2 linked regions of the Pelodiscus sinensis genome follow. The protein of the gene in region 2 purifies or fractionates together with the protein of the main gene of each other region. This does not show direct contact. Links are inferred from orthologs where the notes say so. Each region holds a gene or a part of one and is shown on either strand. Other genes may lie near its edges.

Region 1 (11,681 bases), on a different chromosome or scaffold from region 2:
GCTGAGAGCTCAGGGGCTGGGTTGGGGGGCTAGGGAGGGGGCTGGGTTGGGGGGCCAGGGAGGGGGCTGAGCGCTCAGGGGCTGGGTTGGGGGGCCAGGGAGGGGGCTGAGCGCTCAGGGGCTGGGTTGGGGGGCCAGGGAGGGGGCTGAGCGCTCAGGGGCTGGGTTGGGGGGCCAGGAAGGGGGCTGGGTTGGGGGGCCAGGGAGGGGGCTGAGAGCTCAGGGGCTGGGTTGGGGGGCTAGGGAGGGGGCTGGGTTGGGGGGCCAGGGAGGGGGCTGAGCGCTCAGGGGCTGGGTTGGGGGGCCAGGGAGGGGGCTGAGCGCTCAGGGGCTGGGTTGGGGGTGCTGGCCATGCCGCTCACAGACACCCCTCCTTTCCCCGCACTGAGCTAGCAGGGTCCCTGGCCCAGGCACCCAGCCGTGACCCCGCTGGACCGGGGGTGGCGCCTCCCTGCCCCAGCCCAGTGGTTCGGAAGGGGGCTCCGAGAGCTTGGCACGGGGGGAGCGGCCCTGGCGCTCACCATCGAAGTCGATGCGTCCGTCGTTGTTCTTGTCCCCGTCTTTCATGAGCTCCTCGATCTCCTCCTCGGTCACGTGCTCCCCGGAGGCGCGGAAGATCTCGGTCAGCTCCTCGGCGTCGATGTACCCGTCCGCGTTCCTGGGGAGGCGTCAGCCTGAGCCGGGGCAGCAGGGCCCGCGGGGCACCCTGGCCTTGCCCTGGCAGGAGCCCGGCCTGCAGCAGCGCGACCTGGGCTGAGGGAGGCAGTGCCCTCGTGACAGGCCTGTGCCCATGGGGGGGGCAGCCTGGGCACCGGGCCTGCAGTCTGGGGGGGCTCAGAGCAGGTTGGCAGGGATGTGACCCCCCGAACTGGTATCCGCGCCCCCCACCCCGTGCTGGGGGAGATGCTCAGAGCGGGCGGTGGGGCCCGGGCTGCACCCACTCACTTGTCGAAGATGCGGAAACACTCGGCCAGCTCCTCCTCCGACTTGCCCTTCGCATCCTCCTTCATCTGCCGCACCATCATCACCAGGAACTCCTCGAAGTCGATGGTGCCGCTGCCTGCGGGAAGCAGCCAGCCCTGAGGGCCAGGATGCCAATGCCAGTCCCCCCCAGTGTGCCACCGTGCGCCAGCCCCCCCGCAGCGTGCCACCGTGCGCCAGTCCCCCCCAGTGTGCCACCGTGCGGCAGCCCCCCCGCAGCGTGCCACCGTGCGCCAGCCCCCCCCGCAGCGTGCCACCGTGCGCCAGCCCCCCCCGCAGCGTGCCACCGTGTGGCAGCCCCCCCGCAGCGTGCCACCATGCGCCAGCCCCCCCAGTGTGCCACCATGCGCCAGCCCCCCCCAGTGTGCCACCGTGCGCCAGCCCCCCCGCAGCGTGCCACCGTGCGCCAGCCCCTCCGCAGCGTGCCACCGTGCGCCAGCCCCCCCGCAGCGTGCCACCGTGCGCCAGCCCCCCCCGCAGCGTGCCACCGTGCGCCAGCCCCTCCCACAGCGTGCCACCGTGCGGCAGCCCCCCCCGCAGCGTGCCACCGTGCGCCAGCCCCCCCCAGTGTGCCACCGTGCGCCTGCCCCCCCCGCAGCGTGCCACCGTGCGGCAGCCCCCCCGCAGCGTGCCACCGTGCGCCAGCCCCCCCGCAGCGTGCCACCGTGCGCCAGCCCCCCCCCGCAGCGTGCCACCGTGCGCCAGCCCCCCCCCGCACCGTGCCACCGTGCGCCAGTCCCCCCTCAGCGTGCCACCGTGCGCCAGCCCCCCCAGTGTGCCACCGTGCGCCAGCCCCCCCCGCAGCGTGCCACCGTGCGCCAGCCCCCCCCGCAGCGTGCCACCGTGCGCCAGTCCCCCCCCCAGTGTGCCACCGTGCGCCAGTCCCCCCTCAGCGTGCCACCGTGCGCCAGCCCCCCCAGTGTGCCACCGTGCCCCAGCCCCCCCGCAGCGTGCCACCGTGCCCCAGCCCCCCAGTGTGCCACCGTGCGCCAGCCCTCCCGCAGCGTGCCACCGTGCGCCAGCCCCCCCACAGCGTGCCACCGTGCGCCAGCCCTCCCCGCAGCGTGCCACCGTGCGCCAGCCCCCCCGCAGCGTGCCACTGTGCGCCAGCCCCCCCGCAGCGTGCCACCGTGCGCCAGCCCCCCCAGTGTGCCACCGTGCGCCAGCCCTCCCCGCAGCGTGCCACCGTGCGCCAGCCCCCCCACAGCGTGCCACCGTGCGCCAGCCCTCCCCGCAGCGTGCCACCGTGCGCCCAGCCCCCCCGCAGCGTGCCACTGTGCGCCAGCCCCCCCGCAGCGTGCCACCGTGCGCCAGCCCCCCCAGTGTGCCACCGTGCGCCAGCCCCCCGCAGCGTGCCACCGTGCGCCAGCCCCCCCGCAGCGTGCCACCGTGCGCCAGCCCTCCCCGCAGCGTGCCACCGTGCGCCAGCCCCCCCGCAGCGTGCCACCGTGCGCCAGCCCTCCCCGCAGCGTGCCACCGTGCGCCAGCCCCCCCGCAGCGTGCCACCGTGCGCCAGCCCCCCCGCAGGCGTGCCACCGTGCGCCAGCCCTCCCCGCAGCGTGCCACCGTGCGCCAGCCCCCCCTCAGCGTGCCACCGTGCGCCAGCCCCCCCTCAGCGTCCCACCGTGCGCCAGCCCCCCCCCAGCGTGCCACCGTGCGCCAGCCCCCCCACAGCGTGCCACCGTGCGCCAGCCCCCCCTCAGCGTGCCACCGTGCGCCAGCCCCCCCTCAGCGTCCCACCGTGCGCCAGCCCCCCCCAGTGTGCCACCGTGCGCCAGCCCCCCCTCAGCGTGCCACCGTAGCGCCAGCCCCCCCACAGCGTGCCACCGTGCGCCAGCCCCCCCCGCAGCGTGCCACCGTGCGCCAGCCCCCCCCTCAGCGTCCCACCGTGTGCCAGCCCCCCCTCAGCGTGCCACCGTGCGCCAGCCCCCCCTCAGCGTCCCACCGTGCGCCAGCCCCCCCCCAGCGTGCCACCGTGCGCCAGCCCCCCCACAGCGTGCCACCGTGCGCCAGCCCCCCCTCAGCGTGCCACCGTGCGCCAGCCCCCCCCTCAGCGTCCCACCGTGCGCCAGCCCCCCCCCAGTGTGCCACCGTGCGCCAGCCCCCCCTCAGCGTGCCACCGTGCGCCAGCCCTCCCCAGTGTGCCACCGTGCGCCAGCCCCCCCCTCAGCGTGCCACCGTTGCGCCAGCCCTCCCCAGCGTGCCACCGTGCGCCAGCCCCCCCGCAGCGTGCCACCGTTGCGCCAGCCCCCCCCAGTGTGCCACCGTGCGCCAGCCCCCCCCTCAGCGTGCCACCGTGCGCCAGCCCCCCCAGTGTGCCACCGTGCGCCAGCCCCCCCCTCAGCGTGCCACCGTGCGCCAGCCCCCCCCTCAGCGTGCCACCGTGCGCCAGCCCCCCCCCCCAGCGTGCCACCGTGCTGCGCTCACCATCCTCGTCCACTTCCTCGATGATGGCGTCCAGCTCCTCCTTGGTGGGCGTCTGCCCCAGCATGCGCATCACGGTGCCCAGCTCCTTGGTGCTGATGTCCCCGCCGCCGTCCGCGTCAAACATGTCGAAGGCGGCCTTGAACTCTGCCGGGCAGAGCGTCAGCGGGGGCTTTGCCCCAGGCACCGGCCTCTCAGCAGCCTCGGCCCCCTGCCCCTCGGCCCGCCTGCCGGATCGGCCCCTGGGGCGGGCCCAGAGGGTCCCGTCTGCTGCCCTCTCCCCTTGGCAAGCAGGGCAACTTGTGGGAGCCCCCCAGTAGCTCTTATTCCCCCTCCCCCGAGCCCAGAGGGGCGGGGTCTCACTCACCTGCGATCATCTCCTCGGAGAGGAAGGACCGCGCCTCCGCCTGCTGGTCCGTCGTCTGCAAGGCAACCGGAAGAGCGGCTCAGTGGGGCCCGGCCCTGCGGCGTCTGGGCTCCGGCTCCAGCTCCGGCTCCGGCTCCGCTCTGCAGCGGGCGCAGTGCGGCGGGGCCCGAGTCGCGCAGCCCCCGGAGCCGAGCACGGCGACACCCCAGCACCACCTGGGCACCCGAGGGCAGGGCCACGCCGCTGGGGCCTCCCCAGAGCACCTGCCACCCTGGCCAGCACCCAGCGTGGGCCACAGGCGTCCCGTGGCCTGGGGCGGGGCACGGGCCAGGCTGCGCGTTTCACCGGATTCACGCCACCCATCAGCGCTCCCCTAGAGCAGTAGGGCATGCGGCACTGGGGGCCCTGCCCGTCCCCCCCCCCCGAGCCCTCGTGCGGCTGCGTCTAGCCCTGCCCTCGGGACTGGGGGCCGCAGGGCCGGGCTGCCTGCGGGGCGTTGCCGGGCCTGGGCGGGGGCTATTCTTAGCCCAGACTCGGCCCTTGTAGGGGGGCAGCAGGAGGCCAGGCCCAGCCCACACACCTGCCGGGCTGGGATTGAATTACTCCTTGAGGGCAGGCCCAGGCAGCTGGCGGCTTGTGGGCCACAGACGGTGTCTTATGACCCGGAGCTCAGCTTACGGCAGCCTGCTGAGTCCGGCCCTGCTGCGCCCAGCGCTGCTCCTGCCCCCTCCCGGGCAACATGGCCGCCTGCCCCCCCCAGCACCAGCACTGCCTGCCCCCTCCAGCACCATGGCCTCCCCCCCCCCCCCCCCGGGAACATGACTCCCAAACGCCTGGGGATGCTGGCCCAGGGCTGCCTTGGACTCCCCTGCCGGCCGAGTGAGATGGGGGCAGCCCCCAGCCCCCTTTGCACCTGCCCCATTGCCCACCCCAGGGGCAGCATCGTTCCGGGCAGGGGCATGATGGGACGTTCTGCAAATCGCCGATTTTTCTAAATGCCCCAACTCCCGCCCCCGGGGCCTGGCCTCCTTGGCCTCCGCCAGCCCGGTGCCTCCACCCCGCCAGCACCCGGAGCCGGAGCCGGAGCCGCTCTGTGCTCAGCCTGTCACCAGCACCCACCGGCAGCCCCGCCTCACGACCCCAACCTTCGCCCTGCTGCACCCGCCGGGCTGGCCACCTCCTCGCACCCACACCCCTCCCGCCCAGCACCCCCCCAGGCTCACCATGCTGACAGGCTCTCGCAGCACCTCCCAGACCAGTCACCGCCGCCCGCAACCACCAGCCCCAGGAGCTCCCCCTCCACCCCTGGCCCCCCAATTTGTACCGTCCTCGACCCGCCCGCTGCCCCCCCAGCACCGCGCCATTGGGCCTCGCCGGGCGCCGCTCTCCCGCAGCCTATCAGCTGCCTCCTGTCGGCCCTTGGCCCCTGATTGGCGGCCGGGCCATTTTACCTAATTTAGCAAACACTTTATTGGCCGAGCCAGGGGGATTAAGAGCAGGGCAGGAAATTCAACCCCGCGGGGCGCAGGAGACGCAGCGCCTCCCTCCAGCACCTGCCGGGGCTGCCGCAGCAAGAGGCTCCGGCCAGAGCCAGTTGCTGGCCGGGGCCAGGGCCAGCTGCAAGGAAAACCCACGGCTGGGGGCTCTGGCCTATTGCCTTCAGCATGGCGGGGAGGGACGTCCATGCCCCCGGCTGGGCAGGCCCCGGGGGTGGCGGACGGCGGCGGGAGGCTGGATGGGGCAAGCACCCGCCTCCCCGGCCGAGAACGTCTCGAGTTTGTGCTGGCAGCTGAGGGACCCGTGAGCAGCGGTAGCAGCCGTTCTCACGCTCTGCCCTGGCCCGGCCCTCCTCCAGCCAGTGCCACTGCCCTGTGGCCGGCTCCCCTCCCAGCCGGGTGCCACGTGGGGCTGGTCCCTTTACCCCTCTTCCCAGATGCCGGGGGGCCCTGCCGACTCCAGCTGCGGGACGCTGGGGTTTGAGCCTTGCTTCCAACCCTCTGGCCCGGGACTCGGCTGTCCCTGGGTCGCTCTGTCTTTCCCCGTCCCACCGCACCCTCGGCCCCGTGGCTCCTTCCCTGCCTCCTGTGCCCCGCCCCATGGCCCGGTGTGTCCTCCAAACATCCCACTGCAAGTGAAGACGCCTCCAGCCGGGAGGGCAAGGAGCAGGCCGGCCAAGCCTGCTCTGCAAGCCCAGGCCGGGAGCGCCTGGGGGGCAAGGGGGGGCCGGAGGGCCTGCTCTGGGAAGCCTGGAATGCAGAGGCGAGGGGAGCAGCTCGGCGCCAGGGGGCTGGCCCGACGCCTGCCTCGCACTGGGTACGGCTGGGCACTAGCCCTGCTGCAAGGCTCTGCCCAGCCCAGGGAGACCGTCGCAGCATCAGGTGCCCAGGGCTCTGGCCAAGGAGCGGAGGTGGTGGCCATGGGACTGCGGGGGTTAGGCTTGTGTCTGGCCCGGATCGCCTCGGTCACCGGGGACCTGCATGGCCAACCCTGGCCTGCCTGGGGGGCACAGCACGGGCGCGGGAGCAGGGCCGGAGGGAGCCGGGAGCCTCGCCCTGCATGGAGTCAGGCTGCCCTGCGCCCCCGGCGCTCGCCCCGCCCCCGCTCTCTTGTTTACATGGGGATCTGGTTCCCACCCGTCTGGGGCCCAGGAAAGCACGTGTGGACCCGGCGACAGCCAAGGGACAGTCCCTCCCACCCTGGGGCCTATGGGACTGGCTGCCCGCGCTGGCCATGCCTACAGCCACGGAGGAGACGTGGCACAAGGGGGCCGTGCTGGCTGCTCAGGACCGTGCCCATTGGGGTGATGCTTTGGGCACCAACAAGCGTGTTGCTCTGGGCACAGGGTGCTCCTTCCCCTGGCCCCCCCAGCACACGCCGAGTCCCTGGGGAGGGCACAGGGCTCCCGATTTCCTGCTGCATCCGTGTAAATCAACCTGCGTCCTGCCCGGAAACCGGCTTTGATCCCTGCCAGGCGTGGGACCGTGGCGTTTCTCGGGCTGGGATTGGAGGCCCCCCCGCCATGCCAGGCGTGGGACGGGGCGTTCTCGGGCTGGGATTGGAGGCCCCCCCCGCCATGCCAGGCGTGGGACGGGGCGTTCTCGGGCTGGGATTGGAGGCCCCCCCCCGCCATGCCAGGCGTGGGACGGGGCGTTTCTCGGCTGGGATTGGAGGCCCCCCCCCGCCATGCCAGGCGTGGGACGGGGCGTTTCTCGGGCTGGGATTGGAGGCCCCCCCCGCCATGCCAGGCGTGGGACGGGGCGTTTCTCGGCTGGGATTGGAGGCCCCCCCCCGCCATGCCAGGCGTGGGACGGGGCGTTTCTCGGGCTGGGATTGGAGGCCCCCCCGCCATGCCAGGCGTGGGACGGGGCGTTTCTCGGGCTGGGATTGGAGGCCCCCCCCCCCGCCATGCCAGGCGTGGGACGGGGTTTCTCAGGCTGGGATTGGAGGCCCCCCCCGCCATGCCAGGCGTGGGACGGGGCGTTTCTCGGGCTGGGATTGGAGGCCCCCCCCGCCATGCCAGGCGTGGGACGGGGCGTTTCTCAGGCTGGGATTGGAGGCCCCCCCCCGCCATGCCAGGCGTGGGACGGGGCGTTTCTCGGGCTGGGATTGGAGGCCACCCCCGCCATGCCAGGCGTGGGACGGGGCGTTTCTCGGGCTGGGATGGAGGCCCCCCCCCCGCCATGCCAGGCGTGGGACGGGGCGTTTCTCAGGCTGGGATTGGAGGCCCCCCCCCCGCCATGCCAGGCGTGGGACGGGGCGTTTCTCGGGCTGGGATTGGAGGCCCCCCCACCCCCGCCATGCCAGGCGTGGACGGGGCGTTTCTCGGGCTGGGATTGGAGGCCCCCCCGCCATGCCAGGCGTGGGACCGGGGCGTTTCTCGGGCTGGGATTGGAAGGCCCCCCCCCGCCATGCAAGGCCGTGGGACGGGGCGTTTCTCGGGCTGGGATTGGAGGCCCCCCCCCCGCCATGCCAGGCGTGGGACAGGGCGTTTCTCGGGCTGGGATTGGAGGCCCCCCCCCCGCCATGCCAGGCGTGGGACGGGGCGTTTCTCGGGCTGGGATTGGAGGCCCCCCCGCCATGCCAGGCGTGGACGGGGCGTTTCTTCGGGCTGGGATTGGAGGCCCCCCCGCCATGCCAGGCGTGGGACGGGGCGTTTCTCGGGCTGGGATTGGAGGCCCCCCCCCGCCATGCCAGGCGTGGGACGGGGCGTTTCTCGGGCTGGGATTGGAGGCCCCCCCCCGCCATGCCAGGCGTGGGACGGGGCGTTTCTCGGGCTGGGATTGGAGGCCCCCCCCCGCCATGCCAGGCGTGGGACGGGGCGTTCTCGGGCTGGGATTGGAGGCCCCCCCCCCGCCATGCCAGGCGTGGGACGGGGCGTTTCTCGGGCTGGGATTGGAGGCCCCCCCCCGCCATGCCAGGCGTGGGACAGGGCGTTTCTCGGGCTGGGATTGGAGGCCCCCCCGCCATGCCAGGCGTGGGACAGGGCGTTTCTCGGGCTGGGATTGGAGGCCCCCCCCCCGCCATGCCAGGCGTGGGACAGGGCGTTTCTCGGGCTGGGATTGGAGGCCCCCCCGCCATGCCAGGCGTGGGACGGGGCGTTTCTCGGGCTGGGATTGGAGGCCCCCCCCCCGCCATGCCAGGCGTGGGACAGGGCGTTTCTCGGGCTGGGATTGGAGGCCCCCCCCCGCCATGCCAGGCGTGGGACGGGGCGTTTCTTGGGCTGGGATTGGAGGCCCCCCCGCCATGCCAGGCGTGGGACGGGGCGTTTCTCGGGCTGGGATTGGAGGCCCCCCCCCGCCATGCCAGGCGTGGGACAGGGCGTTTCTCGGGCTGGGATTGGAGGCCCCCCCCCGCCATGCCAGGCGTGGGACAGGGCGTTTCTCGGGCTGGGATTGGAGGCCCCCCCCGCCATGCCAGGCGTGGGACAGGGCGTTTCTCGGGCTGGGATTGGAGGCCCCCCCCCGCCATGCCAGGCGTGGGACAGGGCGTTTCTCGGGCTGGGATTGGAGGCCCCCCCGCCATGCCAGGCGTGGGACAGGGCGTTTCTCGGGCTGGGATTGGAGGCCCCCCCGCCATGCCAGGCGTGGGACAGGGCGTTTCTCGGGCTGGGATTGGAGGCCCCCCCGCCATGCCAGGCGTGGGACAGGGCGTTTCTCGGGCTGGGATTGGAGGCCCCCCCGCCATGCCAGGCGTGGGACGGGGCGTTTCTTGGGCTGGGATTGGAGGCCCCCCCCCGCCATGCCAGGCGTGGGACAGGGCGTTTCTCGGGCTGGGATTGGAAGCCCCCCCCCCCCCCGCCATGCCAGGCGTGGGACAGGGCGTTTCTCGGGCTGGGATTGGAAGCCCCCCCCCCCCGCCATGCCAGGCGCTGCCACCCTGCGGAGGCCTGGTCTCTTTATGGGCGGGCAAGGTGGGTCTGCTGCCCCATCAAGCCAGCAGTGCTTCTGGGGTGTGGGGCAGGTGGTGTCTCGGGGCAGAGCCTCCCACCCGGCCCGGGGCGAGGGAGCAGAGCCGGGGGGCGGGGGGCCGGCTCCGACTGACGGGCGCAGCTGGGCTGGGGCCGGTATTAATAGACATGCCTAAGACGCTGCAAGGAGGGAGTGGGCGCATCTCTCTAAATAAGGCTGGGAAGCAGCTGGGGGCAGAGCTGGGCAGGGAGCCCAGGCGGGGCCTGCGTCCCAGTCTGGAGAGACGCCGAGCCCCAGGGAGCCAGCCGCTCCGGACAGGCCACGAGGGCCTGGGGGCCCCAGAACCGGCGCGAGAGGCGAGCCCGGCCCCAGGACACCAGTGTACCTCACACAACCAGCCCCCTGCTCTGTCTGATCGGGGGTAGGGGCGGGCAAATCGCCCCTGGGGCTGCTGGAGCCAGATCCTGAACCCTACTGGACCAAAGCAGACTCCTGATTGGGCAGCCACACAACTGGGAGTCGATCCGGATTGAGTCCAGATTAGTCGGGGGAGGCAGGAGCAGGCCCGGCTACTCCAGAGTGGGAGAGGGGTGGGTGCCGCCCTGTGGCTCAGGAGTGACTCCGGATTGGGCGGCGGCTCTAGATAAGGCGCCCTGCGCGCCGGGAATGCCGCTGTGGCTCGGCGAGCCCCCGGCCGGGCAGGATCCGGGTTCCCGGGCGGAGGCGGAGCCGCGGCAGGGAGGATCCAAGGAGGAGCCGCGACTGAGCGGCCATCGCAGCCTGGATCGCGGCTCCGGCCTCGGTGAGCAACGCGGGGGGGCCCGGCCCCCAGCTGCCCCTCCCCCCGCCCGGAGGGGGGTCCCAGCTGTGGCCGCCTTGCCCGGCAAGTTTGCAGCAACCCCCCCCCCCCCCCGGCAGGTGCCTTAGTGCCCCCCCCCCGCTCTGTCCTCCCCCGCCCCCGGGGCAAGCGCCGTCTCCCAGGCACCGCCCGCTCGCTCAGCCCCGCTTCTCGCTCCCTCCGCAGCGCCCATGGCCGCCCGCCTGCTGCACCGCCTGCGGGACGCCCTGGCGGGGGCGGCGCCCGGCCGGCCCGGCGCGGAGGCGGAGGAGTTCCCGGAGAGCTCCGAGCTGGAGGACGACACCGAGGGGCTCTCCACGCGACTCAGCGGCACCCTCAGCTTCAGCAGCGGCCCGGAGGAGGAGGCGGAGCAGGAGCAGGAGGAGGAGGAGGCGGCCGCCCAGGAGCTGGGGGGGCTGGGTGAGCCGGCAGGCGCGGGGCGATGCTCTAGACAGCCCCATGCAAGAGGCCCAAGGACCCAGTGGGGCCGGGAGATGGGGGGGGGGGAGCCCCCAGGTCCCACGGGTGACAGGGCTGGAACAAGGGGCGGGGGCCTGGCCTGTTCCCCCTCCCTGGCACGGCCTGGCGGGTGACGGCCGGGCTTGTCTCCGGTGCAGCTCCGAGCCCCTCTCCGGCTGAGCGCCCGGGCAGCCACCTGCTGACCCGCCAGCTCCAGGACTTGTGGAGGAGGTCGCGTGGCACCCTGGCTCCCCAGCGGCTGCTCTTCGAGGTCACCAGCGCCAGCGTGGTCAGCGAGCGCTCCTCCAAATACGTGGTGAGTGAGGGGCTGGCTGCCAAGCCCCCCGTGGGCCGTGTTGGGTTGGGGCCCTGAGCTGACGCTTTTCTCTCTCTCCTGTGCTGCGGATGGCGCCGGCGGCTCAGACGAGCCTCAGGTAACTTGCTGCCAGGTGCTTGCTGTGCCCCAGCCCTGCCCCGAGGGAGCCTGTCCCCTTGGCCCAGCGTGGGCACCCGGCGAGAGGCGAGGCGTGCGCAGTGGTGCGGCGCCCTCACGCCCTGCTCTCCCCCCAGCTCTACACCATCTACCTGATCCGCTCCGGCCAGTTTGACAAGGCCCCTGCCGCCATTGCCCGCCGCTACTCGGACTTGGAGCGGCTGAACCGGCGCCTGCGCCGCCACTTTGCCTGCGACATGGCAGGCGTCGCCTTCCCCAGGAAGCGGCTGCGCAGGAACTTCACGGCCGAAACCATCGCCAAGCGGAGCCGGGCCTTCGAGCAGTTCCTGTCCCACCTGCACTCCATCGCCGAGATCCGCCGCTCCGCCGCCTTCCAGGAGTTCTTCTTCCTGCGCGAGCTGCAGGCAGCGCAGCGCCTCACCTGCACCGGCATGTACCGCGAGGCCCTGGCCGCCTGGAGCAACGCCTGCCGGCTCCAGGACAAGCTGGGCGCCGGGCGCTCCGGCCGCTTCCTGCTCACGCTGGCTGGCCTGGCCGTGTGCCACCAGGAGCTGGAGGAGCTGAGTGAGGCTCACGGCTACTGCGAGCAGGCTCTGCAGCTCCTGGAGGCCCAGGACAGTCACCCCTTGCTGGAGCCCTTCCTGCAGGCCCACGTCCACCTGTCCTGGAAGGTGGGGAGAGACAAGCGCCAGTCGGAGGCCAGGCTGCAGGGGCTGCACGGGCCCGGGCTGCTTCCGCAGCAGCCGCCCA
Region 2 (10,707 bases):
TCTCTCTGGGGACAGCCTGCATATTGAACCCCTCACCTCTAGAGCAATGATTTTAATAAAACATATATATTTTCATTTTATTTTCCAAAAAAATTGAAATGAATTGTATTAAGGACCAAAGAAATGCCAGGTAAATTTTCTAGTGTTAATATTAGGAATGTTAGGCAGTGTGTAATTGAATAGTCATGTAACTGCATCAAATTTTATCGATTACATGACTATTCAATAGTCCCTGGAGGGGGGGGGCCAGCAGCCAGCGTGCTTCCGGCCCCACTTCCAGGGACAGATCTGTCCATTGGGAGCTCGGCCCCCCGCCGACAAGGGCTGCTGCCACAGAGCAGCTCCTGTCCACAGCGAGCTGAGGCCCACCAGACAAAGATTGCTTTGTAGTAGTTTCCCCTGGGTCCCTCCCCACTGCTGCCTCTGACACAGAGGCAGCAAGCGGGGGTAGAATTGTATGTAGTTGGCAGGATTAACAGGTAAAACCAGGCTTATTGGTTAATTGTAAAGTCATCTGCACACTGACATCCCTAATTATCACATAAATAAAAGACCCACCACACTATATACATATTATACACACACATATCTTCCTCACACCACGTTATCACCAACAGATTGGGTAATATATTAACAATGGGCTCCTGGAAGAGGATGGAGGGAACTGGATGAACTCTTTCTGTTTGGACTGTTTACCCAAAACGGTTTCAACGGATTAAAAAAAAATCCACCCTACATTTATGCCTGATGCCTCAAAATGATATTACTATACAGACAACAAGTCAAAGTGTATGGCATTTAAAAGCAACAACAGCAGCAGCAAAACAAAACCAAAAAAAGTGTACAAGCTCTATCTGAGTTCTATCAGAATGGTAGACTAGGTGACCAGGGTGATCTTCTAATCCTTAGAAGATTACAGAGACTTTTACCTCTAATTCAGTCTGCATCACTATGGACCAATAATCATTTTGCCATCTGCTAACTGTCTGGCCATAACCTGCATGAAATGAATTTGTGGTCTCATTCCAGTGTCCTGTTGAGCGAGTGCCTACATATGACCATAGAGGAGACCTATATGTACCTGACTGAATGTATACCGCTGTAAATAGCAGATATATCCTTTCAATTAAGATCAGTTTCAGCAGAGACCAAACGGTGACTGCAACATAAAAATTACCATATTATTAAACAAGAATATATTTTTTGGTACAAGACCAAGCAAGTACATCAATGACTTAAAGGAGTTAAAAAATAAATTGTATTAAAGTAACATTCTGGATACAATTCAAATATGTCCTGGTCCACAATAGTTCTGAATGCCAGTTAAGGTTTGTACTTCTTCGGAGCAGTTTATATTCACTCTGCAGTATGGACTGAATAACTTAGAACCAGAAGCCTGCTAGCAAAATTACACAGGCTTGGCATCTCACTGAAATATGGACTGTTACCATAAACTTATCAATCTCTTATTTAATTAGAAACTGTTAGTCTTTAATCTTTCCACCAAATTGCCCCCATTCTCTCTTCAAACTGGGGCACTGTTGTTAATCTAGACCTTTACAACCATCAAATCATCTGAGCATTCAAGTTCTGTTACTACATCTATCCACTAGAGCAGTGATCACCAACCTGTAGATCGGGATCTACTAGTAGATCTTTGGAGTCTCTGACAGGTGATCCTGACTGGTTTGGCTGGGAGGCTATCAAGTCCCTGCACATCAGCTGCCCTTCCCATCACTGCCCTGCTGCTCCTGCACAGAGCCTCAGAGCAGTCCTCTGGGAGCCTCTTGCTTGTTGTGCAGAGTGGGGGAAACAGGCAGGAAGGCACTGATGTCACTGTCTCCCTCCCCTGTATCCCATCTTCACAGAGTGAGGAGGGTGGGGCCTCGGCAAAGGGGTGGGACAGAGGTATTTGGGTCTGAGGTAGATCCTGGACTGACAAATTGAAAAAGTGATCTTGTGCTTAAAGATTGGAGACCACTGCAGTAGAGTATCCCAGCTGATTATGATAGAAATATAGCCATGTTACTCTGGTGTAGCTGAAACCAAAAACAGGACTATGTAGCTCTTTAAAGACTAACAAGATGGTTTATTAGATTATGAGCTTTCGTGGGCCAGACATATGTGTGTTCATTTTTTAAACTGTATCCTTTGGTATATATGTATGGCTGTGACAATTTTCTTCCACTATTTGATATGAGGAAATGGGTCTGGCCCACGAAAGGTCATCTTTAAAGTGCTACATAGTCCTGTTTTTTGTTCCCGCTGATTATAGTTGTCAAGGTGTGACAAGTGGAGAAAGTCAAAAATATTAAGGACGAACTAGCTCAAACACCACCTTAAATTTCACTGAAAAATCAACTGAAAGCCAAAGCAGATCACATATGGAAGCAGGAGGAATACAAAAAATCTTCACAAAAAGAAATCATACTTTTAGCATTGATTCTTTGGTTTAAAAAGTCACAGGTGTATAGGTAAAATTTCACTCCAGTGACCTTACTGCACCCAGTTTAAATAAATACTATATTACTATTCTAGTAGAACCTAGAGGCCCTAAAAGAGATTGGAGGCGTACAGCATGAGGCAATACACCAGGCCTGGGCAAAATACAGCCCACTGGCCAGATGCGGCCCATCAAGCCACCAGGTCAGCCCTCTGGATGCAGCGGGGACCCACAGGCAGGATCCTCTGCTTGCCTACAGTACCGCATGCCACTCAGAAAAGTGACTGCAGGGCCATTTCTCTTTCAAAACTGATCTGGAAGAGGAGAGGCACAAGGCTTCAGGTGCTGCCACCCTGCACCCGGAACAAACCCATTGTCCAGTTTCTGACCAGAACCTGGACAATGGGAGCTGCCTGATTGAACAACAGGCAGCACACGAAGCCCCATGACCCTCTCCCCTCCAGCTTAGTTATTCACACAAGCACATGGCTCTGCAGGCTGTGCAGACACATGGTAGGCAGGCAGGCATGCTAGCTAATTGGCTGAGAAATGTTTTAAGTTCTGCATGCATTTAGCTCAGCAGGCTGGCTGGGCTGCTAGCTGGTAAGTCTCCTGGACAGAGCCTGCCTCTGACACTCTGCCCCTCCATTCAACATATCCAAGCCCTCTGCCCCCCTCCTGCACCCCAATCCCCTTAATCCTCCTACCCTAGGTCACAAACCAAACCCCTGTATCACAATCCCCTGCCTTAGGTCACAACTGCCTCCTTTACCCAAACTCCCTCTCTGACTCCACTCTCCCTCCTGCACCTCAGTCCCTTTCCCCAAACTCCCTTCTGCACCCAACCTCCACCCCAGACTCTGCACCTCCTCCATTAATATCATGGAAGAGTGCAACCCTCAACCACTTTCCAAAATCTTGGAATGGCCCCTCATCAAAAATTATTGCCCACCCCTGTACTACACAGAGAATACCTGTCCCATTTCAAAGATCCATAGGGAAAAATTACAAAACTTAACACAAATAAAGGCTTTACTCCCACCGTAAAATGTCAACAGTCCTTTTGGAGTAAAACATCAGTGTTGGAAACTTTAAACAGTAGTAGTATTTGGGTAATGTAGAAGTGCTAGAAAGTGAAACCAATCCATCTTAGTATCCAAGATGAATAAAATACAAACAGCAAACGCACAGCATTAATGGGTAAGCATTAAGTGGCATTTTAAAAACAGCTAGTTACGGATCCTGAGCTATTTTTAACACAAGTAAAAGAATGTTAAATAAACCGGTATTTTAAGATGACAGTTTCAAAAGTGCTCTATGGAGCACTGCCAGCTCAAGCAACGGGAAGAGACACAGCCTGCCCTGCGATAACAATCACAGGAGTGTCTCCTAAGTCCGATCCCTGAGCCACCTCGCAGCCCCGGGGCGCCGAGTGAGCACGCAACGCGTTTTGTCCCTGGGCTGAGACGCCCGTGGCTCGGGAAATGAAAGGCAGAGCTAAGCAGGCGGGACGGGCAGAGGCCGTTACGTTTCCACTCACTGACGCTTCCTACCATCGGTGCTAGAAGCCAGCCCCGGCTTGAAGTGGTTTCCATCGCACAGCGGGCTGACAGCTCTCAGCAGCACCCGCCCCGGGCCAGCTGCTCCAGCCTCCTCGCTCCCCGCCTCGGAAAACCCTCCAGGCCCCGGTGACCCACCGGGGAAGAAACTTTGCGGGGCCGGGGCGCGGCGCTGGCCGGCGGGGCAGGGACTGACCCAAGCCGTCCCATGGGGGGCGCGGCGGACACACAACCCCCCCCCCCCCCCCGCGGCTGTCGGGCAGCGCTCCGAGGGGGGGCGCAGCTGTCACTTTCGCCTGTGCCGCGCGAAACCCCCCCCCCTCCGAGCGAACGGCAACGCGCCCCTCCCCCCGCTCACCAAGGTAGTGTCTCCGCAGCAGACCGGGCTCCTCCAGCCCCAGGCTCCGCTTCCGCACGTCCCACAGCAGGTGCGGGCAGCACCCCCGGGACATGGCAACGCGGACGGGGAGTCGCTAGGGGGGGGGGGGGCTCGGGCTCAGACTCGGCGCCGGCGCCAGCCGCCCCCCGCGCTCACCATGGAGACCCGCTCGCTCGCGCGCACCCGCCTGCTGCCGAAGAACGAGCGGCCGCTCCACTCCCCTCCCCCCCCCATCTCACCCCGCCCCCTGACTCCTCCCCGACCCCGTTCGCAGCGCTCGAGACTTACACCTATCGCGGGAACGTCACTTTTGGTGGGTTCGGGCGGTGAAGGCTTGCAGCCGCCATCTTGGATTGGGGCACCGGAAAGCGCCTGCCCTTCCTTTGCCTTTCATCCGCGTCTGCCATCTTGGACCGGGCTCCGACGCGCTAAGGCAGCCATGTTTAGTTTGGGCAGAGACGGCGGCCAGAACGGACGGCGGTGGGGGGGGTGAAGGCTGTTCCCGCCCTTATCTGTCATGGCCGGAAAGAATTTTCTTTCTCAAATAAGACGTAGCGTCCGCTCTCTCCACGCAGGGCGGGGCGCTGGGGATGGGGGGGCGTAATAACCAATAGCGTTCGCCGAGCTGCTCGGCCACGCCCCCTCGCCTGCCAGCGGGCCAATGGGCGCGAAGTAAAGCGGGATCCTCCCCCCGCGAAGGGTGGCGCGCGCTAGGGGAGGCCGAAGGACGGCCGGTCGCGCCGGGGACGCCGGAGCAGCTGCTGTCACTGGGACCCAGCCCGGCCGCGCTCTCCCCTCCGAGATGGCCGCCGCCGCCGCGGGGTTCCGCGCCTCCTACCACCGCCTGCTGGACCGGATCGAGCTCAAGCTGCCGCCGCGGCTGCGGCCCCTGTACAACCACCCGGCAGGTAGCGGCTGCGGCCCCGGCGCCTGGGCCGGGGGGTGACAAGCGCTCGGGGCTGCCGGCCGGGCGCGCACCGCTCTCTGCCCGGGGCTGGCTGCGGGGTGGCAGGTCCTGGGTCTGAGGCGCTGGGCTCCCCCTGTCCCCGAGCTCCTGTCCCAGAGAGGGTGGGTCCGGGCCGGGCCGGGGCTCGCCGTGACCTTGGGCCGGTTGCCCCCTCTCTGCTCCCCGGCACCTGCTTCCTTCCCGGCACGAGCAGCCCTGCCAGACCCCGCGCCAGCCCTGGGACACAGGCACGGTGGCAGCCCCAGTGGACCAGGGCTTCCCCACCCACCACCTCGGGTTTATGGGGCGGGCAGATGTGGGGTTCCTAAATCCTCGCTTCTGAATGGTAAAATTCATGATGCTTTGCACTTCTCTAGGACGAGGCAGCTCAGAAAGGGCTTCAGAGAAAGTATCTGCCCTTAAGGAGAATTCGTCAGTGGGATGAGCTGTTGGAGGAGTTCAGATTCACCTGGATATTAGCTGCTTTCCGAGAGCATCACAAGGTCCTCTTTGGAATAGGGATATTCAGAAGCGGGTATTTCACTAATCATGTCAGTTCCAGCTCGCACCAGGTCCAGGAGCTACCCCTGCTGTGGCTCTGCAGTTTAAATGTAGTAGGAGCCAAACTGCCTGTCTCTTCACTATTTTTAAACTGCAGAACCACAGTGGTGGGGTCGGGGGGAGAGCTCCTGGACCCAATGCAAGCCAGGATTGAGCTGGGTTTGCACCAGGTCCAGCAGCCCCTGTCTGCTGGGGGTCCCAGTGTGGAGCTGGATCTCCTATGGACAGGGGCTGTTACTTTAGGTAGCAGTGTAGCGGAGGGGGCGGGCCACACAGTGGATATGGTACTGGGAGGAACTATCTTTCTAAGCCAACTGCCCCCAGCCAGGGCCAGCTCCTGGATGCACGACGCAACTTGCTAAGAGTGCTGGGATGTTTGTAATGGATCACTATACAATAGTATAAGGATCCTCTAATATCTTGTTGCTTTTCTGATCTTGACATGTACTTTGAAGTCTTAATTATCAGTAATAATAATTTCTGAAGAAACCCCAATGAATTTAAAAAAAACTTTGAGGCCAGGAATGTTGGACATTGGCTTGTCACTTAAAAATATACCACTGTGGGGTTGCTGTGGTGGCACTGGTATTTAGCATCAAACTGACAGTAACTAGTTTCTTTCTTTAATAGCTTGTTTCTACTTCTATCATTTTTAAGTTGGTATTTGAGCTAACTAACAGGTGTATTATGGGGAGAAGTATTGGGAAAATGATAATGAGCAGTATTATTGCTTAAACACAAATTAGCAAGTTTACTTTATTTATAGGAACATCCTGTAAACCAGGAGTGCAGGAACTTTTTGGCCTGATTTTGTAATGGAAATTCTGTGGAGAGCCATGAATGCTCACAAAATTAGGATTTGGGTGTAGGACAGGATGATGAATCTGGCTGAGGCTGGGGCCAGAAAAAAGGAGTTTAGGGTGCACAGGGGTGCTCTGGGCTGGGACTGAGGGGTTCAAAGGATGGAAAGGGGCTGTCAGCTGAGACAGGGAACTGGGGTGCACAGGAGGAGTTTGGGGTGCAGAAGGGTACTCGGATGGGATGGAGTGGTTCTGGAGGTGGGAGAGGTATCAGGACTTAGGCAAGGAATTGGAGTGTTGGGGGGGTCGAGGCTTTGCCTGGGTGGTGTAGACTCTGGGGTGAACTGGGGATAAGAAGTTTAGGAAGCAAGAATCTAAACTGGGAATCAATTTCCTTTCCTTTAAAAAAAAAACAAAACCCACTTGTGACCTCATTAATTGCAATGGGGTTTCTAGACATTTACAACATGTAAATATACAGTGTTGTTTCTGCCATTTTACAAATAGTAGTAACATATGGAGTAGTTGCATTGGCTGGTTCTAACTCATAAAAAAGAGATGATGCTGAGACAGGTCTGAAATTCTTAACCATAATCTTATTCAGATCAATGGAACTAAGAAAAGGGAAAAGAGAGAGGAGATATCTCCTATCTTCAAGTATAATCCATTTGAAAACAAAACTGCTGCTTGTCTTCATTTTCTTATCTATGAAATGAGCAACTTCTGCTCAACCTTTGGCTTTCCCTGTGTGCACCTTTTGAAACTAATGCTCTGTAGGTAAAGCAGCTCTAAAATAAAAGAAACCAGTGACATTTTAAAACACTACCTTTACCGTCTTTTTTTTTCCCTCTTGAAAAACTATTGTTAGTGCCTGGAGGGGCAGAAGGTAACAAATACTGTTCAATTATTCTCTTTGTAGATTTAGTCATTTATGCAATTCAAAGTAAAACTATTTTCCCAGCTGGCAAAACAAAGAAGTGAACACGTCATGTATATTCATGAATGGTGTACGCCACTGGAACTTTTTACATGAATCATGTGGATCTCTGTATTACCTTGCCTCACTCCAATCTTTTAGATTAGAGCCAGCAAGTGTCTGCAATTGATTGGCAGCAATTGTCCTGTTTAGTGTCCTTTTATGAGGAGAGGGGAGAAATGAGAAGAAAGGTCTTGAGACAGGAGAATTCAAAAAGATAAGTGAATCAATTATGTGCCTTGATGGCCTTAAGAAGAGACCTGTTTATCTACAATTTATGTCACAAATTCTGTGTACAAACATGGGAACAGGAATTTTTAGAAGTGCTGTGTTTGAGGAAAGAAGGTGACCAGCCATTCAAAATTAGTTCAGTTAACAATTCTCTCTCTTTAACAAGCATGAAAACATGCACTTTCATTTTCTTCAGTATTTTCCATTTGCTATCAAGGTAGATAATATTTAAAAGTGAATGATTACAGAACCATATAGGTGAATCTTCCATTTTAGAATCTGCTATGTAAATAGATTTCACAAGCTATCTGATGAAATGTAAAGTCTTCCCTGGACTGCCCTTTCTACTGTTTTTCTTTAATGCAATACATGTTCTTGAATTTTCATCAATCTAGAATGCGTTGTTGGGTATATCATGATTGTGCAGTAAGGAAATTTTAGCTTCTAGACCCCTGGTCATTTTTCTATAACAAAAGTCTTCTCTCAAAACAAAGATTGCACGGGTTTAACTAGAATCGGATCAAATAGTTTAGATTAATTTAAATCGGTGCAAACCCTTTTTACCAGTTTGAGCAAAGATGGTACAAAACTTTTCTTTTATATGAAGCTGACCAAAATTGAACCAATTGCAGTTGCTCATGTTTAATATATTAAGGTGCTGCAGTGTGATACTTCCTGGCATGTACATACACTATTAACTTACACTGTATTCCCAGTGTTAAAGATGGGAGGCTATATTATGTGGTTTCATACATTTGGCCTGTGACTTGAACTTTGGCCATTCTGTGCCGTGCCGTGCCTTGACTAAATGTCATAGTTGGAATTTCAAACTGTTAGAGTGATCCTGTTTCTAAAAGAAAAATGTCTTTGTCAAAAGAACAATTACCACATCATGTATAGGCAGCTTCAGCAAAGAGTTGGTGGGTATAGAAACTGAACTTCCTTCTTGTGCCCCTTCAATCTGTACCTGCTTTATGGATAGAGAGCTTCCGTATTCCAGGACTGTTGGGCACATTTCAACTAGAACAAAAGCCATTCAGTGGGAAAAGATACTTTTGTTTGCCCTAAAACGAAAGCTTTTAATGTCCTTAGCAAGGCCTACTTTGATGACCTACTTTGATAAGTGACTCTTTGCCTAGATTTTGAATTGTTTGTATCTAAGAGAAATCCCTTTACTTTGGCTTGGAAAACAGTTTGGGTGAAATACTTAAAAAAACACACACACACACACACCACCCTTGCATTTGCTGTTTTTCAAATTAATGAAGGTTACTAGAGGACAGTGAAAGATTCTGACAAATAGGAGATGTGAACCCAACTCCCCCACTTCCAATTGGCTGCTGCATAGTAGAAAACTAGTGTTAACAGCAGAGAGATGTGACTTGGCTTGTATTCAGTTACATGTGTTCACTGTTTAAGCTTCTTTAATTAGGGATGGATAGTCATATTTCAGTAACTGATTCATTAATGAAGCAGAATCCATCTCTTGGTTTGAGTTGTATGCTTCATCAGTGTACTCTGTGTTCCTTGTTAGGAGCAGGAAGCATATTTTCAAAATGTATTAAGATTATTATTTTGTATTACCCAGATTTATCCCTGGTGTAATAATAGTTATACTAGAGATGAATTAAGTCCAGCCAGTGTAGAGGTGTGTAAAATACGTCAAGGTTCATAAAGTGTTTTATTTTTATTATGAAAATCAAAATGCATGTGAAATCTATCAAACAGAAGACAAAGCTTTAGTCTGCTTTTTGTTGTCTTAACAAGACTTTGAAAACAGTTCTTTCCTTCCTCTTGAGTCTCTGAAACCAGCTTACTGACATTTTAAAACTCCATTAATAATTTATTAGGAGAGTTCTCAAGGATTTTATGAAAACCATTTTTTTTTTCAAGTATTAGTTTTAAAATTCCAATCAGATTCCTGTGCAATTTTTCCCCTTGGATGCTGGAGTGCTGTCTTATTTGATTTGTTACTGATAGGTCATTGCATTTACTGCAAGAACACTGAAATACTTTAAGAGGAAATTCATAGAAAATAATTAGACATCTGAATGCATGCATACATGTTTGGAAGCTTGCAGGTACGATCACAAATAGTAAACATAACTTGAACAAACATTTTTATGAATGTAGGTGTAAATCATAACCCATTGTAGCATAAATGAGCATGGAAATAATGTTTGTGAAAACCCCCACCGTAATCTGGAGGAAATAGGTACTGACCTTTATTGTTTGGAAGGATGCCATTGATGCTTGGGCAAGCATAAAAGAAAACATTTTAATTTGAAAGGGTTCTTGATTAAGATTGAGCCTACCAGCTGCTATCCTGGGTGGATGTAGGTCTGTGGCCTTCGCCTCAGACTGGTCTTCTCTTTCTTAAGGCTTTAGATTCTAAGAACTTGACATGCAGTCAATGAATAAACAGGCAGCGTGTCTCCTCAATTTTGTGTGCCACTCCAGATTCCAGAATAAATACAGCTACATATCCTGGAGCAAGAAAGTATCCAGGCACCCTCCCTGGAAAGATCTTAAGATATAACTGGAAGAAGTTAATCATACTTTAGATCTGCCTGCCATTAGTTTTGCAATTGTGAAAGAACTGGGAGATGGATAGGAGGGAAAACAGGAGTGAGGATGTGGATGAGTTTCCACACTAGGAAACTTTGGGAAATCCTAACAGATGCATTTAAACTTGATTTGCCAGAGAAACTTTCCAGGCAGTGTGGAAGGGAAGGGAAGGGAAGGAAGCTTTATATGAGATATAATTTAAAAGATTCAAAAATTGTCATTCTGAAGCCTACAATGTCTGAAT

The links.
Region 1: the proteins of DCAF6 (region 2) and TNNC2 purify together in Homo sapiens (affinity purification with mass spectrometry; 3 studies listed by BioGRID and IntAct, with this or other methods). This does not show direct contact. The link is inferred for Pelodiscus sinensis from reciprocal best matches to the Homo sapiens genes DCAF6 and TNNC2.

What each region holds. Positions count from the first base shown.
Region 1 is NW_027465936.1:210,225-221,905, reverse strand, and holds TNNC2 (troponin C, skeletal muscle), read right to left. Parts: upstream 5,108-11,681; 5' UTR 4,999-5,107; coding exon 4,996-4,998; intron 3,828-4,995; coding exon 3,773-3,827; intron 3,553-3,772; coding exon 3,409-3,552; intron 1,061-3,408; coding exon 946-1,060; intron 659-945; coding exon 325-658; 3' UTR 310-324; downstream 1-309. Other genes in the region: SNX21 (sorting nexin-21), read left to right, coding at 9,847-9,982, 10,205-10,438, 10,636-10,793, 11,048-11,681. UniProt on the Homo sapiens protein: Troponin is the central regulatory protein of striated muscle contraction. Tn consists of three components: Tn-I which is the inhibitor of actomyosin ATPase, Tn-T which contains the binding site for tropomyosin and Tn-C.
Region 2 is NC_134711.1:161,386,047-161,396,753, forward strand, and holds the start of DCAF6 (DDB1- and CUL4-associated factor 6), read right to left. Parts: upstream 4,613-10,707; 5' UTR 4,455-4,612; coding exon 4,361-4,454; intron 4,141-4,360; exon of another isoform or gene 3,997-4,140; intron 1-3,996. Other genes in the region: MPC2 (mitochondrial pyruvate carrier 2), read left to right, coding at 5,184-5,289. UniProt on the Homo sapiens protein: Ligand-dependent coactivator of nuclear receptors. Enhance transcriptional activity of the nuclear receptors NR3C1 and AR. May function as a substrate receptor for CUL4-DDB1 E3 ubiquitin-protein ligase complex.